Linked DNA regions of Rhinolophus ferrumequinum. The protein of the gene in region 2 interacts with the protein of the main gene of each other region in a pairwise test. Links are inferred from orthologs where the notes say so. Each region holds a gene or a part of one and is shown on either strand. Other genes may lie near its edges. The genes, in order: OTUB2 and FAM168A.

Evidence for each region.
Region 1: the proteins of FAM168A (region 2) and OTUB2 interact in binary tests that used the Homo sapiens proteins (3 or more experiments, as listed by UniProt). The two-hybrid records come from large-scale screens. The link is inferred for Rhinolophus ferrumequinum from reciprocal best matches to the Homo sapiens genes FAM168A and OTUB2.

The regions. Positions count from the first base shown.
Region 1 is NC_046289.1:9,052,198-9,060,454, forward strand, and holds the start of OTUB2 (ubiquitin thioesterase OTUB2), read right to left. Parts: upstream 3,225-8,257; 5' UTR 3,040-3,224; coding exon 3,037-3,039; intron 1-3,036. UniProt on the Homo sapiens protein: Hydrolase that can remove conjugated ubiquitin from proteins in vitro and may therefore play an important regulatory role at the level of protein turnover by preventing degradation.
Region 2 is NC_046294.1:48,815,605-48,823,401, forward strand, and holds the start of FAM168A (protein FAM168A), read right to left. Parts: upstream 3,173-7,797; 5' UTR 2,931-3,172; intron 1-2,930.

The DNA.
Region 1 (8,257 bases), on a different chromosome or scaffold from region 2:
TTCCTGCTGCCTGGAATGCCCCTCGGCCTCTTCACGTCGCAGGTGACGTCACCTCCTCGGAAAGCCTTCCCTGACCACTGTCTCAAGGTGTCCTTCCCTCGACCCTATTGCCTGGTTTTATTTCTTCAGGGCGTTCTGTAGGTTCACTCATTTACTTGCACACTGTCTGTGTCCGTGCCCCAGAATGTCACCGCTATAAGGGCAAGGACTTTGCCTGCCTGTCATGACCAGATCCCCAGTGACGACCACACACTAATGTTCCACAAATACATGTGAGTGATCACTGAGCAAATGGATGAGCCGGTCTCAGGCTCCAGCCTGGCCACTCCAGGCCCGTGTCCACTGCATCGCCAGAGAGACCGTCCAAGTCAATCACCTCTTGTCAAAAACATTGTACGGTTCTCCCCATCAGCAGACTAAACCCAAACCCACAGTGCAGCTGGCAAAGCCCTTTACAGCACCTTCTGACCCCACCGACTTTTCCAGACTCAACTCCCTTCCCTCCTGGGAGCTCCCTGTACCCACACAGACCACCTCTCCTGTCCCAGAGTATCCCATTCTGAACCATATTTCCAGGCCTTTAAGAGAGCTGGCCCCACCCTGCCTGGCATGTATTCCCCTACTCCTCCCTGAAGGATACATCCTTCAACACCCAGTTCCAAAGTCCTCCTCTATGAATCCTTCCTAACACCCCCCGTCCCAGAATGCAATGGTACCCGCTGTGCTCCCCAAACCCTTGGTCAGACCTCTATAGCCACGGTCAGTAGCTCAGGAATTGCTTATGGCCAGCTATGGCTTGACCAACAGGCATTTAGCTCCTAAGAAAGGGCTCCCCAGGTCTTTCTCATAAGTGTCCAGCGTGGGGCCTGACTAGAATACCTAACGGAGGCTGGTTGGACAAATAAAAACAAAGCACAGAAGGGCTCTGTGGTTATCTGTTCATGCCTGACACTCATCCATTCCCCCAACATTAAATGCACTTGGAGTGAACATGAAAACCTCACCACCTACAGCCCCTGCCACTGGCAGCCACAGGCCGGGACCTTGTCCTTCCCACAGGGTGCTGTGTCTTCTACCTGACTTTTCCTCACGCCTAGCCCAGTGACTGCAATGAGAAAGGAAAGAAGACTGTGTTTTCCAAGGACGTTTTCCTCTGCCCACAACACACACTCACCACCATCCACACCATGCAGCCCAGGGCCCATGTGGTGCCTGGCAAACAGCAGGTGCTCCATAAATGCTGGGGTGAATGAAAGAGAACAGACCCTGCAGAGCCTTTGCCTCCCAGGATTCCCAGGGTGACGTCCTACTTAGTGGATAAACCACTTCATCCCTCTCCAAGGCACCCAAGACTGCCGACGCCGGGTGAGGGCTTGGTGCTTTTGACCCCATCTGCCATCTAGCTTCTGGTCCCGTGAGTCCATGGCAGACTGGAGGGCAGGGTCAGAGGCCTCACTGTGCAGGACAAAGGCCAAAAGTTGAGGTCCCAGCCCCACTGCCCCTGTTTGCTCTCGGCTCTCCAGTGGTGACCAGAAGGCATGGCAGCTTCACGATTCAGGGTGGCTAAACCCATTATTACCCCATCTCCTGCCACTCCCTAGGGGGTGATGCAGAAACACCTGGGCCCCCTTCCAGGAGCAGCAGAGCCGGGTAAACCCTTGGGCACTGGGTAGAAGCAGGAAGCTGGTGCTTCCAGATGCCCCAGAGACCTCAGCCACACCCCAGCAGCAAGCTGGTTTGTACAGGACAGGCCTACTCAGGTGACCCAGCTGCCCCTCCCGCATTCAGAACGTATCTGGCTATGACCAAGCTTTGACCCAGGCCTCTGTCCTGCAGCATCCGGCAGTGGTGACCCATTTCCCTGCCCAGACATGGAGGGAGGAAGCAAAGCACAAACAACCGGGCAGCTGTGCACACCTATTCCCAGGACTCTGTCGTCACAGGAAAAGCTGCATCACCTCACGTGGTCCTCACAGCAGCCCATTGTACAGATGAGCAAAATAGTGCTCGGGAGAACAGACCAACCAAAGCCCGAAGGGGTGGTGTAGAGATTTGAACTCGGGCTGTGTGACCCCAAGCCACCATAAAGGCCATCAACCCTTACACTCTACAGGATGCCTAGAACAGGGGGCTCAGGGTTGAAAGGTTTCAGGCAGTCATCACAGCCAGTCCTCTCCAGATTGCCTGACCCCTCCTCCCCCAAACCCAGAAGGTGCACTGATGTAACACCAAGAGCACTGGACTGTGAGTCCAGAGGTTTGGGTTCAAGGTCCATGTTCATCACAATCAGTCCCAGCCTCGTTCCTGTTTTGGCCTCAGTTTCCCCACCTGCCCAATCCCCGCATTTGGCCTGGCTCAGAGGGTCTCTGGGGACCTGTCTGCTCAGACAGGACTGAATCAGGGGTTCCTCTGGTCTCTGCTTTGCCTGAACTCCTAATCCACGTGCCTCTCAACTTGAGGCAGCCTCTCCATGTAGGTGCTAACTCCAAACCTTGTGTTGATGTGCAGGACAGAGAATGTTCAGTGTTCCGGCCACGCGTGCACCTTTAAGTCCATTCATGGAGCTTGGGATGGGGGTCTCTGATAGCTGAGCCGTCGGATGGGTGAGGCCGTGAGCTGCGGACTGGGGGGCTATTTAACAAATTGTGGACGACCCTTAGCCCTGGAGCCTCCCTGTCCTGATTTCAGTCGAGAGCGCCTACCTTGAGCCATCACGGCGTCACCCTCGGGACACCTGGGATGAATGCGCTGGGGGCGGGAGGCCTGGGGGCCCGGCTGGGTCCCCTTGGCTGGGCATCCATGGTGGGTGGCGGGGCGCGTTCCAGGCCCTGCAGGGCCTTCCGAGGAAGAACGCGGGCCCCAGCATCCGTCCGGACTCAGTATTCCCGGGGTCCGGACGCCGCGGGTCCAGACCTGGAAGCTGAGCCTCGAGTTCGACCCCGGTCCCGCGAGTGCACAAGCGCCACGGCGGCGACCCCGCCTACCGCACCTCCCTCTCCCGCTCCCCTTTCCCCGCCTCCCCCCACGACCACTGACCATAGTGATCGGAGCTGTCGGGCCAGGTCCCGCCCCAGCGAGGAGCGATCCGGTGCGGGAGGGCGCCGCGGGAGCCACTGGCTGGTTGCGCCGTTGGGTCGGGCGGCGGGGGCCTCGAGGGCGTGGGGGCGAGCGGAGAATACACCCGACCGCTCCGCAAACCAGAGGCGAGACCTCCACTGTGTTCCAGCAAGACACACACACCGCGATTGACGTCTGAGACGGGCAATCAGAAGCCGGGATGCAGGACGTCACAGAAAGTGGGTGGGACTTCACACACCTTCAGCCTATGCTTTAGGGTTTATTTGATAGGGTACCGCCCCCTTTTAAAGACATAGAAAGCTTTTAACTCGCGAAGTAGTTAGCCCAACCCAGAAAGAGAGGTCTTCATTTGTAAAGGCTGAAGGACTTTTGACCAAAACTGCAAATTGAGGTCTTATTAAAGATTAGCTGGCCCACATTAATTCATAAACAAGGTCTTATAAGTATAATTTGCTCAAGATCAGAGGACAGGCACTTACGGAACACGTGTCCAATAACAATAACTGCCTGGCCTTGTGTAGCTTCTAAGTAATATTTTACCCTCTTTCAACTCATGAATCAGTAGGTTGCCAGGCATCCAATTAATGTTTGTTGAATGAATGAATTTCCAGGATTGTTGATTCTGGGCCTCTGGAATTGTATGGCTACGTATGGAGACACAGACCATGACCCAGGTTTGGTGACTCACCTAGCATACAAGCTTGTTATTACTAAACATCAAACAGAGGAATATGTATCACTCAAAGATTCGTTCACCAGCCCTTGATCCCTGGAGGAGGGACACTGGTGGGGACGAAAGGTTTGTGGGGCAGGGGGCTGCAGTGCGTTGCATGCACCCATTTTACAAGTAGTAATACTTCCACGAGCGGGTATTCAGCAATTCCCACCCCACTCACTCCCCTGCCCCAGGCACAAGGCTAGGTTCTTGGGCAGACAGACACCTGTGTCTTCCAAATGAGCTTTTTTATTAGGTGGGGAGTGTGGGGTCAATCCAGGCTCAAGAGCAATAACAATAATAGCTGGTTTTTATTGAGCACCTACTGTGTATCAGGCACTGTCCTAAACTCTCAACCTATATTACCTTTCTTAGTTTTCTCAAAACTAGTTTATGGGGGTAGTTCCTATTATCCCTATTTTACAGATGAGGAAACTGAGGCACAGGGAAGTTAAGGAACTTGGCCAAATTCACACAGCACTCAGCGGGAGTCAATCCCAGGCAGCCTGACTCCAGAGCTGATTTTGAATTCATTCTGCTGAGGAACCACGTACGCAACTGTGGAGGGTGAGGTGGAGGGTGCATGTACTCCCCTTGCCCCTATTTTCTTTGGGGGAGTTTCCGCTCTTTGTTTTTTACAGCCAAGGAAGCCAGAGAGGTGACAGGAGCAGCTCTCAGTGCTGCTCAGCTAGGACAGAACCCAGCAGGGCTGGATCCCTGGACTTCTGACTCCTCATTCAGTGCTCATTCCAGGCTGTGTTAGTCTGCACTTGGTGGAAGAATGACTGAGTCAGGTGCGGCCCCATGGGGTGCAGGCAAGGGATCTGCCAGGGAGAGGAGAGGAGGTCCTGGGGGACATTGTGTGGGGTGTGGTCTCAGGTTGAGCCCTGGTCAAGCCCACATATGAGGCATTTGGGGTCCCCAGGAGGAGGACCCTGAGTGAGCTGAGACTTCTAGGAGCGCTCGTTCTGGACACAGCAGCTCCAAACCAAGCAAGCGTTGCCCTGTGGACGCAGTGCTGGGCTGGATTTGCAGCAACTCTGGGCCCCAGGCTGGCTAGACTCTGCCACTCACTGCTGTGTGGCCTCAAGTGACTACTAGACCCTCTCTGGGCCTCTGATTCCTCACTCAGTGAGAGGGTTGAACAATCTGGGAAATTAAAAAAGAAGATATTTGAAAATTATTTTTAGTAGTGAAGCTTTTAAACAAAACACAGTCTTAGCCAGAATCTCAGTATATGTGTAATGGAATCTTTCCTCAACTGTAGTTCGAATAAGCTGGGAAAAGTGTTATCTCTTTAGTCTGTAATTAATCAGGCTTCTTCCTGAGCTCTCTAAAGCCTGGTTAGAAGAGAAAAAAAGGTTTACAAAGAGTCCAGCCAGTTGTCAAGCTGGGTCTGAATTGAAAAAGTGAGCAGATCTTTTAGGGGCCTCCCTGTGACTGGGGGTTAACATGTTCTGTCCAAAATAAATGGACTCTCCTTTCCCTGTACCCCTTCTACCTGGTGTCCAGGTGTCTGGGTGGAGCGGTCGGGGCTGGCTGCTATGGCCTCATAGATTCAGAGAAGACGGTTTTATCCTCTAACAAAGGACTCACAGCAAAAGGACACCCCCAGCACCTGGGGCTGGGCCTGTGGCCCATGTGACTCATGGGCTGACTTTTCTGAGAAGGTGACCCCACCTCATTCTCTACAATGTGGCCCCAGTTTACCTTTCTCATCCCCTATCTTCCTCTCTTCCCCCCATGGCCAGGACAGAAGCTTCAGAGGATGGATTCAAGTGCCAGAACCTTCCGCATACTTTCCCACCTCTGAGCCCTTGCTCGTCCTGGAACACCCATTTCACAGGCTCCACTTGTCAGATCCCACCCATCTTTCAAATTCTGGCTCCTCCTCCATGAAGCCTTCCCAGATTGCCAAGCTGGTGATGAATTCTTCTGAATCTCCACCATACCATATCTGTTCTTCTCTGGCCCTGATCCCTTCTGGCTGTGATTTGGAGGGAGCAGTAGGACAGGGTAATTACAAGTATGGGTAATGGCATCAGGTATATTCATGTCATGATTCCCATGGCATAGCCCCTTGAGCAAAACAGACCTCTCTGAGCCTCAGTTTCCTCGACTGTAAAATGGGGGTATTCATACCTATCTCAGAGGGCAATGGGGAAGACTAAATGAGATGACCATGAAGAGCACTTGACACTGTACTTGGTATCCAGTAAGTGCCCAATATATGTGGGCTTTGCAGGGTGGTTATCGGGGCCTGACTCTTGTGCATCCTTGTGTGAATAAGCCTAAAGGGGACAGGTAGGGGTTTGCACGTGACAGGAGGAGCCCCAAGGAGGTTTGCGTCTGCATACCAGGATGGATGTCATCTGCTTCCTTCCTGGATCAATAAACTGAGCTTCTGATGGAGGGATGTCAGGCAGCCGCACCCATGTTGGCAGAAGCTCCTTTAGTGCAGGCCCATGTTCCTGGTGCTCTTTACATTGTGCTCTTTTGTGCGCTTGACTTTCCCTGCCTGGCGAGCTGCAGGCAGGGTGCTCTGCAGGAGGACCAGACCCCAGGTTGCAAACGGCTTGACCTCCTTTTCCTCTGTACAGCACGTCCACACTGCACCCTCCCCATCCATACACACACACACACACACACACACACACACACACACACACACACACACGTCAGAGTCTGCAACCTTGACCTGCAAAACTCATTAAGATACAAGTTCATGTGTTGTTTCACTGCTGGGGAAGGTCAGAAAGAATCAGAGCTAGAGTGAGCCCCTTTTACCTCCCCCAGCCCCACTCCAGGGAGCACAGCAGCAGTGGGCCAGCCCTGGAGGCTGTGGGCTGCCCTGGCTCCCACCCCCAGGGGCAAGGTTGAGAAAGACGATTTTCTTTTTGAGGAGAAAATCTTTCCAGGATGAACATTGGGACTCGGGGGAGTGGAGGACGGGGAGATGGGTATGCCTAAATAGGGAGCACTTTCTGGAATTGGGGCAAGGGGGAATGCAGGCGTCCCAGAACAGGGGTAACTCCCAGAGCCCCTCCTCACTCGCAGGTCACCTGTTGGACCCTGAGAAAAAGGGCCTGTACTGGCCGAGGGAACTCAGCCCCCTGGCCTGACTGGCGGTGACTCTTTTGTCCCTCCTTTCAAGCCCTCTTGTATGTTTGGGTGAATGGTGTAGCGAGCGACATGCCAAAATTCAATTCATTCAACTCTCAACAAAGGTTTGCTGCACCTCTGCTGCGTGACGGGCACTGACTATGCACATTAGTGACAAAACGGACAAAAACCGTGGCCCTCACTCACCTTCCAAGCTAGTGAGGAAGTCACCTCCAGTCCCCTGCCCTGATCAGCTGCCCAGGATCACAAACCCCAGCAGGGTGAGGGGAGGACGGGAAGGGAGAGCCCAGATGATTGAGATTTAATTTTGCACCCGCCCAGAGAGATGCGACACACACTGAGAGTTCATGTGAGTGGGAAACAGCAAAAAGAAGGTCATATTTCTTGTACCCTCCGAGAGGGTCCCTGGGGAGCCAGTGGCGTGTCAGGCTGTTTGGGCTTTTCAAATGTGAGACAAAAAATCTGGAAGAGAAATCATTTGACAAAGCTCAGTTATACCATGTCGCTGCTCGCTTTTCAGTGTAAACACGACCCACCGCCCCAGAAGGGTAATAGATGGGTACATTTCCCAGCCAACTGCCCATTTGTGGGGCCCCCCAGTCCTGGGCTTGAGAGCTAACATTTCTCAGTTCAGATAGCAAATGCTTGTACCCACGCAGGCTCCTGGGCTGGGCAGGGAACACTCTTCCTGCCACAAAAGGAGAAAACACTGGGTGCGGTTTACAGAAAGCAGAGGATGGTTGGGGGTGTGGAGGGAGGCAGTCCTATGCTTGGAGAGAGATGCCTGTTCCACCCTGGCCTCGTCTCCCTGAGGTGAGGCAGGGAGCCCACCCCCTGAAGGAGGCGGGAAGGTGTCCCGCTACAGACCTGGGGCAGGTTACATGATCTCTGTGACACACAGCTTCTCTTGGCCCCCAGCGATCCCACTGCCTGTGTTCACAGGAATAATCCCCTTCCCTTGAGTGTGAGCTGGAACTAGTGACTTATTTGTGACAGAGTACACCAAAGTGATGGCATGTCAGTTTTGAGATTAGGTTACTCAAAGACCGCGGCTTCTGTCTTGCTTCTGTCTCCCTTCTCTCTCACTTGGCACATTGCACACTGTCCTATGGAGAGGTCCACAGGGCAAGGAATTGAGGGTGGTGCTCAGCCAACAAGCCAGTGAGGAGCTTCATCTGCCAACAGCTACGTGGATGAGCTGGGCAGCTGATTCTCCACCAGTCGAGCCTTCAGATGAAACCACAGCCCTGGCCGATGGCTGGATTGAAGCCAGAGGACCCGGCTAAGCCACGCCCAGATTGCTAACCCACAGGAATGATGGGGTGGTAACACATGTTCATT
Region 2 (7,797 bases):
TCTCCCAGGCAATTCCTTTTCATTTTGAGCTTTCCAAAACTAGGGCTTTAATATAAACATCCCACTTCTAGATAAAGCCTGCAGATCCACAAAGCAATGTCAGGACCCCAGAGTAAAGTTATGAGGAGAAACGCTTGCATTAATTAGATTACACTCTCATCGAATTAGAGGTAACGACTTAAACCTGATTTTCATTCTAATACAGAAAGCTTCCTCTCACTTCCAAGGATAAGTCCAACCTTCCACCATTCTGCCCGTTTTGGGGGGGAAAAAATTCTGAATATTGGGTATTTTTATTTGCGCAACTGTGAAAGCCAAGGAAAATGGTGTTTGTGAGCTAAACTCTAAAGCTTAAACAAAAAGAATTATTTTGATCCTGCTGGTGCCGATTTTATCCTCTTTACATTCCTCCCCATTTTTTCCTCAGAGTTCTAATCAATAGCCACTTCGTTTAAGGTATCATACTTAACGCAATTCAGTCCAGAAAACTGCTTCGTCCATGCACACCCCGCTACCTCCCCATTCGGCCATGAGAATAAGTATATCATTAAGCTTTAAATAAAATTTCTAATAAATGGAGATATTGTTTCTGTAGTTAATGTAATGTGTCCTCTAAATGTAATGTAAGGCCATCCTCTAAAAAATAAAACAAAAATGATTCTATATGCTTTATCCACATTTGACCGAATTCTGACCACCTGAATTCAATTTATAGAAATATAGTCCGATTCTTTTAAATCTCATCAAGTAATGTCAGAAGAGAATCAAATGAAAAACTCCACCAATACCAAAACCATCTTACCAATGAATATTTATGATATTTCCATATTTCCTGTCTTCCCTCTGTTTACTTAAAGCGGTGGTGCCAAGATTCATCTCAGGATTGTTAGCCTGCAATACAATGATGGGCCTAATTGCCTTGCAAACCAGGACACCAATAAATGGAGCCTTCAAGCAATCAATTTTTAGAGGAGAAAAAAAAAGGCCCAAGCTCTTTCTGCATACATGCACGCTGCCTGACTAGAAGATGAATTCAGCTTTATATTTTTCAGTCTCATTCATCAGTTCTCAAGCAAGGAACGCTCCCTTTGCTACCTCAAGCTCATCAAATCTATTGAATTCTAAATTCCAGGACTAATTTTTAAATGCACCAAGGGGAAGGCAGAAAAGACGCAGAGACATCATATAGAAAGACATCTATCACATTCCAGTTTCATCTTCTCCACCTTTAGTTTGGGAGTGGGCTTTTCTCTCCAAACTTTGTTTTTATATCAATACAAGCATACCTCCTTTTATTGTGCTTTGCTTTGTTGCGCTATACGAATGTTGCAGATTTATACGAATGTTGCAGTTTTTACAAATCGAAGGCAAGACCCTCCACCAGCAAGAAGCACACAACTCACGTGATGGTAACACTCACTTTATTGTGATGGTCTGGACCCAAACCTGCAGTACCTCCAAGGTGTGTCTGTAACAGAAGACATGCTCCCCTCCTTCATTCTACCTTAACTGAAGCCTCTCTCAACTTTCCCCTTTGGGTTGATTTACTTCCAAATATAATACTAATATACATGCAACAAAAAGATGAAACTAACAGCTTACCACGTCCTCTGGGAGTCTTTCATGTACCTTCTCTGTCCCCTGCAAAGTCCCTGTGATTACTGTCTTCCCCCGACCACAGCCTCCAAAGCTGTCCATTTAAGTCCAGCCCTTCACCTGCTTCTGCCTGTTGAAGGCCATCCAAATCCTTCCCCTGCGTCTTCCCAGCATTGCTCCTGCCCCCTCCACAGCCTCCCTGCCCGTCCACACCAACCCGATGTCTCCCACTCCGTAAAGAACCCCTCTGCACCTCCCCATTAGCAACCATCTCGCCAGTCCTACCAGTTCTTCTCAGACATTCCTTCTCCAAAACTCCCTCTGCCACCTTGACCAGGGGACATTTTCTTCAAGACACCATCCCCCAACATTGCTCACCACCTGCCACTCTTCTTTCAGTGAATCGAGCTCAGCGGTGACTTCTGTGCCCTCTGCCTTAACCCTGCACCCAGAGAGCCACCAATGCCCCTTCCAGTGGTTCTAAGATCACCCGAAATCCCATCCTACTGTGCACCCCCCTCCGCCTTCCGCCCAATTTCAATCCTTGTCCGCCCATTTTGGGCCTAATTTCTAATTTACCCCGCTCCTGCCAGGTCACCATTACACTCCCCTCATTGAAAGTCCCACTCCCACCAGCTCCCCAGGAACACCCCAAATTCTACCTCCTCTGCTCTTCTAACCCACGCGATTCCGTAAGTCTCCACAAATTCCACCACCCTGAGATGGCAAACGCCTACTTCAAGCTCAGGTCTCAACCCACGCCAAGCCCCCCACCCCCAGCTTCCACCACCTCTATTAGCCTGCCCTAGGTCCACCCCCAGTTCCAACCTCCTGAATTAACAATCCCCCCCCCCCGCGCCAGGGTCCTATCCAACCCTGCAATCCCACTCTCTATTGAAATGATCTCCTTACCCCGCACCCCAGCTCGGATCCCAAACTGTCAACTGCTCCAGGCCAACCCCAAATCCACCACCCTCATTCAATCCCCTCCCCCATTAAAAGCCATCCCACTCCAGTCTCATCATCCAGCTCGCCCCTAAACCATCCCAAATTCCACCCCAGCCCCCCGAACCCACGTTCCTGTCCCAGGTCCGGTTATTCCCCATTAAAAGTCCCCTTCTCCTGTGGCCCCCCAACCTGCTCGGGTCCCACCCTCACCCCACCCCCAGCCCGCGCCTGGACAAGTCTCCCCTCCCAGCCTGCCATTCCATCGCGACCTCAACCCCCTTCCCCCAACCCGCGCTCACGCAGCCTCCACTCTCATTCTCCCCGGTACCACCGGCCCAGGCTCAGGGCGAGCGGACCAGGGGGCGGTGGGGGGGGGGTCTGCTCACCGGAGAGCCGCTGCAGGCGAAAACGGCGACGGCGGTGGCTGAGGTGGCGATGCCCTTGTCTTCTCTAGAGGGTACAGAGGCGACGCTCTCGCTCCCTCGCCCGTGTCCAGTAAGGTGGCGGATGGCGCGCAGGGACCGGGATCCTCCTCCTCCTCAGCGACTCGGCTCTGAATCCTCTGCAGTAGCCGCCGAGAAGCCCGACGGATGGGGGGAGGGGACGTTCGGCTGCGGGCGAGGGAGGAGGAGGCGAAGGGAAGGGGCGGGGGACCTATAAGGACGGGGAAGGAGGAGCCGGCGCAGCGCCGCGACACGTCCCACAGCCTCAGCTTGCCGGGACCACAACTCCCGGCATGCCCCGCTCCGACCCGCGCGCGGCCTGCGGCTCCTGCCGCGCGCCCAGTGCGGTGGGGCGGTGCCCTCCCCGGTCATGGACAATGGAATAAAGTCAACCATCCGCGGGCGGTTTTGTAGACTCAAAGACCACATGTGAAGGAAGTTAGGTCACCCACGCGGCTCCATTATCCCCAGGTAGCGATGTTCTCAGCATCTCCAACCTCTTTACCCGGGCGCGCGCACACAATGCCCCCCCCACCGCTACCGACGCTCGCTGGACTACATTTCCCAGCATGCCCCCAAAGTCTCCTGCCCTCCTTCCGGGCCCTTCTCAGGCCCGGTACTACAATTCCCAGGGACTGTGGTCCCTGCAATATGCTGGGAGATGCAGTTCTCAGTTCTGCCTCCATGTTAAGAAAAAGAAGTGAAGCAAAGGGAAAAGGGAAGGAATTTGCCAACCCACCGAAGAGAGGCCTAAATGAGCTACATCACCTGTGAGACTGTACTTTCTTCGCCATCCCAGTTACGACAGTCTCACGCTAGAACTAAGGCAGCAGCTTCCTCCTGGTCGTCCTGCAAATCTGAAGACGATTTGGCAACTTGAATCCAACTGTAAAAAGGGCATAATTCTTGACCCAGCTCTATTACTTTTAAGAATTCACCTTAAAAAGATAATCCGACAATTTGGAAAAGATGAATACAAGGTTGTTACATGAGGTTCTTGACTATAGAAGGAAAACACGTAAATGTCCATCACCGGGCTAATTCAATTATGTATATAAACAATGCAGTACTGAACAGCCATTTAAAATAATGATATAGATCTATTTACTGACATGAAAAGCTATTCACATTTTATTCTCAAAGGAAAAATATTGATTACAGAATAGCATGTTTAGAATGGTCCAACTCAGGTGAAATTTGAGATAATATTCTATAATCATAGATTTCAGGAAAGAGCTTCCCCAAAATATTATCAGTGATTATCTTGGAGGAAAGGGTTTCAAGTAATTTTTATTTTCATAGTGGCTGAATTGTTTAAAGGGAGCACATAATTTTTAAGCTATAAGACTAATTCCAAAAACACAATTTCCAAATCCAACAACCTCTCCTTGCTGCCTAAAAGCTTTCTATGGCTTCCTGTTGCCCTCAGTGAAGCTCCAGGACTCTGCCTGTCTGGCTTTTCTTGTGAGCTCAACAGTTCCACTATTAAAATAGTAGTGGTCAATTAAAATTCATAAAAGACCATTAAGTTAGAAGGGAGTATTTTTTGGATTTTCATTGTCTCTTCTCAAAGTTTTCCTTCTTCTGGTCTTTCCACACCCATTTCCTCCTGATCTCCCACTCATCTTGAAACTCAAGACAAAGTCCTGCCTTCCCTAGAACATATTTCAGGCACACTTTTTTCCTTATATCTGAATTCCTATAGCAGTGGTTTCTAATCTGTGGGCCAGAGATCTCTGTCGGGAGGCGAAGAGAGGAGGAAGGATCACAGTTAGGGTAAAGATCTGCAAAGCTCTACTTAAAGCCTTGTCTATAGACTGAATAAATGTCTTACACTTAAATTTTTTTTTTCCTTTCTGTGTCCAGCTCTCCTAGAATACGAAATATGGTATCAGATCTCTGATTTAGCATAAATCCTGTATTCAATTACAGTATTTTATATTTCATGTGTCTTTATTACTCTGTTTTGTGCAAGAAACATCAGAACATTTGAGATCCACTAGCCAGCCCACTGGAGAGCTGCAGGCCTATGGGAGAAAGTACAGGTGGCCTAGATTAGAGTTTAACAATCCTGCAGCAAATCCTTCAGTTTCACCCCACCTAAATCTGGTTACATTTCTATCCATGGTATTCACTTTCTCCAAATACATCAGGCACTTTTTCAAATTGCGTATCTAGTTTTTTTTCATCCTATTCTTCCAGGCTTAAAAATCCCACCTCCACCCCCAAAAAAATATCCTATTCCTCTGCTCTCTTCTCTGAGAATAGTAAGAAAAATACCCATGACATGTTGGCTATGTCCCTTCCCCTCTTAGTTGCACTGGCCATCCCCTTTCTAAACCCTCTTCACTCCTCCTCCTCCTTTCCCCTGCTCTCCTACTGGCAGAAAGTGGGGGCTGGGTGATCAAAATTAGAGGGGTCTGATCTGTTCTGCAAGTAAAGGATTATTTATTTGAGTTAGAGGAATAGATAGGAGGAAATTTACTGAACTAGGAATCTGGGAATCAGATCCTAAATGAGACCTTGCCATGAACATGCTGGGTGACCTTTAGTAAATCCCTTAGCTTTTCTGAACCTCAGTGTTTACATCTGCAAATAGAAGGAATGATTCCTGCTCTGTCACCTCATAAGGTTTTTAGAAGAATCCAATAAAACAACATGTATGAAAGTGTTTTGAAGATTGTAAAGTGCCACTTAGAGTCCAAACCCTTGATCTAATTTGAGAATTACCTCTCCAAAACCCTGCCATGCCTTGGCATGTAAACTCTTTACTCAAAATTATATCATTATTAATGAATTTATTGAACTATTTAAGGAATTAACTCCATTAAGCCAATTTAATTCCTTGATAATTTTCTATATAGCACCGTTAAACAATTTCTAACTTTTCTAGATTTTTTTCTATATTGAATTTTCATCAAGATATAATGCTTTCCTCTATCAACTTTACAAGAAAGATTTGATTCATCAGTTATCTTTATCAATTTTTACTGATTATAGTTTCAGCTGTTACAAAATTTCTAGTCATTATTTCCACCAAGTCCACCTTTTCCTGGGAGCAATTTGAGCCATTGTCAGTTTTATTTTGTGTTGATTAGTTCTACCAAGTGGAATTTTCCCAGGGGTCAACTTTGCAATGTTCAATGTTACCAACAAAGATGGAGTCATTCAGTTTGCTTTTCCATCCATAATAAAATTTTACCACGTGTAGTTTTAGCCATTGTCAATTTTATTTTATGTTGATTATTCCTACCATATCCAATTTTTTTCAGCAACTCAACTAAAACAAACTTACAGGGGAAATGACAGTGTCAAAACTCTATCCTTTGCCCGTTATTATCTGATTAACGAGGACTGTGAGATGGTTTTGTCCCAGCTATGTTAATGAGTTGGCTTTGAACTCTCTCAAACCATCTCTTTAGGAACCTTGGCACACGTGCAGGCTGGAGTATTACTTTAAGAATTGCTGTAGAATTGCAGGAAATGGACATTAGAGACCATGTTAGGAGAACCAATCTTTAATGAGCCAGGTGCTGTGCTGGTGTATAAGATCCATTATCTCACTTAATCGTCAGCCTCAATGTCCCTCACATGACCGTTTTATAGTAGAGGAAAGAGAGAGGAAGGCCAAGTTAGCATCAGAAACCAGACCGTTTTAATTCTCAGTGCAATTTGAATGATTCTAAGTTTCCAAAGTTATCTAATTCAATTTTTAAACTTTTGCAATAATCGTGCTGAAAATTATAATTTTTGAGTTTAAGATATGAAACAAAAAATCCATGTATGTAAACAAAGCATCTCAAAGAGCTTTTTGTGTAGCAAATGAGAAAAGGAGTGTAAAAATGTTTTGTAAATGACCCAACCCTGGGCAAATGAAGGTTACTGTCATTTGTGATGAAGGCTGTTATATAAAACCTGTTAATGCACTTGACAGAGTGCTAGAAAACTAATCACACACTACTAATTTTCCATCGTTGGGTATCAAATACCCATCGATATATTTCATTCTAATAGCCAATATTAAAGGAATCAGATTGCATCCTGCCCATCCTTTAAGACCTAAGTCAGGCATCTGGAAGCCTCCCCTGACCCTCGCTTAGGTTAGGAGCCCACTTAACTCCCACAGCCTGCTCACGCTGTCATGTTCATTGTCTATTTACTGCCCTCAAGGACAAGGACCAAGGTAACGTGGTTCATCTCTGGGGCCAGAGCTCAGTTCAGCCCAGACCTTCTCACAGCGTGAGGCCTCAGGAAGTGGTGATTGAATTAATTCATTAACATGACAAGTAGATAAACTATATCGATAATCAATTAAAATGACAAGGAAAATACCTCAATAAAGCTGAAAAAATTATAATGACAACGGAAAAGCTCATATTAAATAAAGTGAAGAGCAAAATTAATCACAAAATCTGCACAAACTGATTACAGTCACCTAAGCTCCTATAGCAGCAGCAATATGAGGAAAGAGCCTTGATGTCCTGGGTTCAAATCCCACCGCAGCCAGGACTGGGTGTTCTGTCAAGTCAATGCCTCTCCAGCACCTGTTTCCTTATCCATAAAATGGCTGACCTTGAACTCCCAAGGCAGATAAAAGAATTAATTAAGGTACCAGATATTTTTCATTTTAAGGAGCTGACAGAAGTGAGGGTTGTTACTAAAAAAGGTCAGAAGAGAATTGGAAGGGAAGTTTATGTTTAAGAGGATCCTTTACATAAATTATGCTGCTTAAGTTCATAAGCTTAAAAAAAAAAGCATACCACATATGGTGGGTTGAATTGTGTATCCCAAAAAGATCATTTTATTGTAC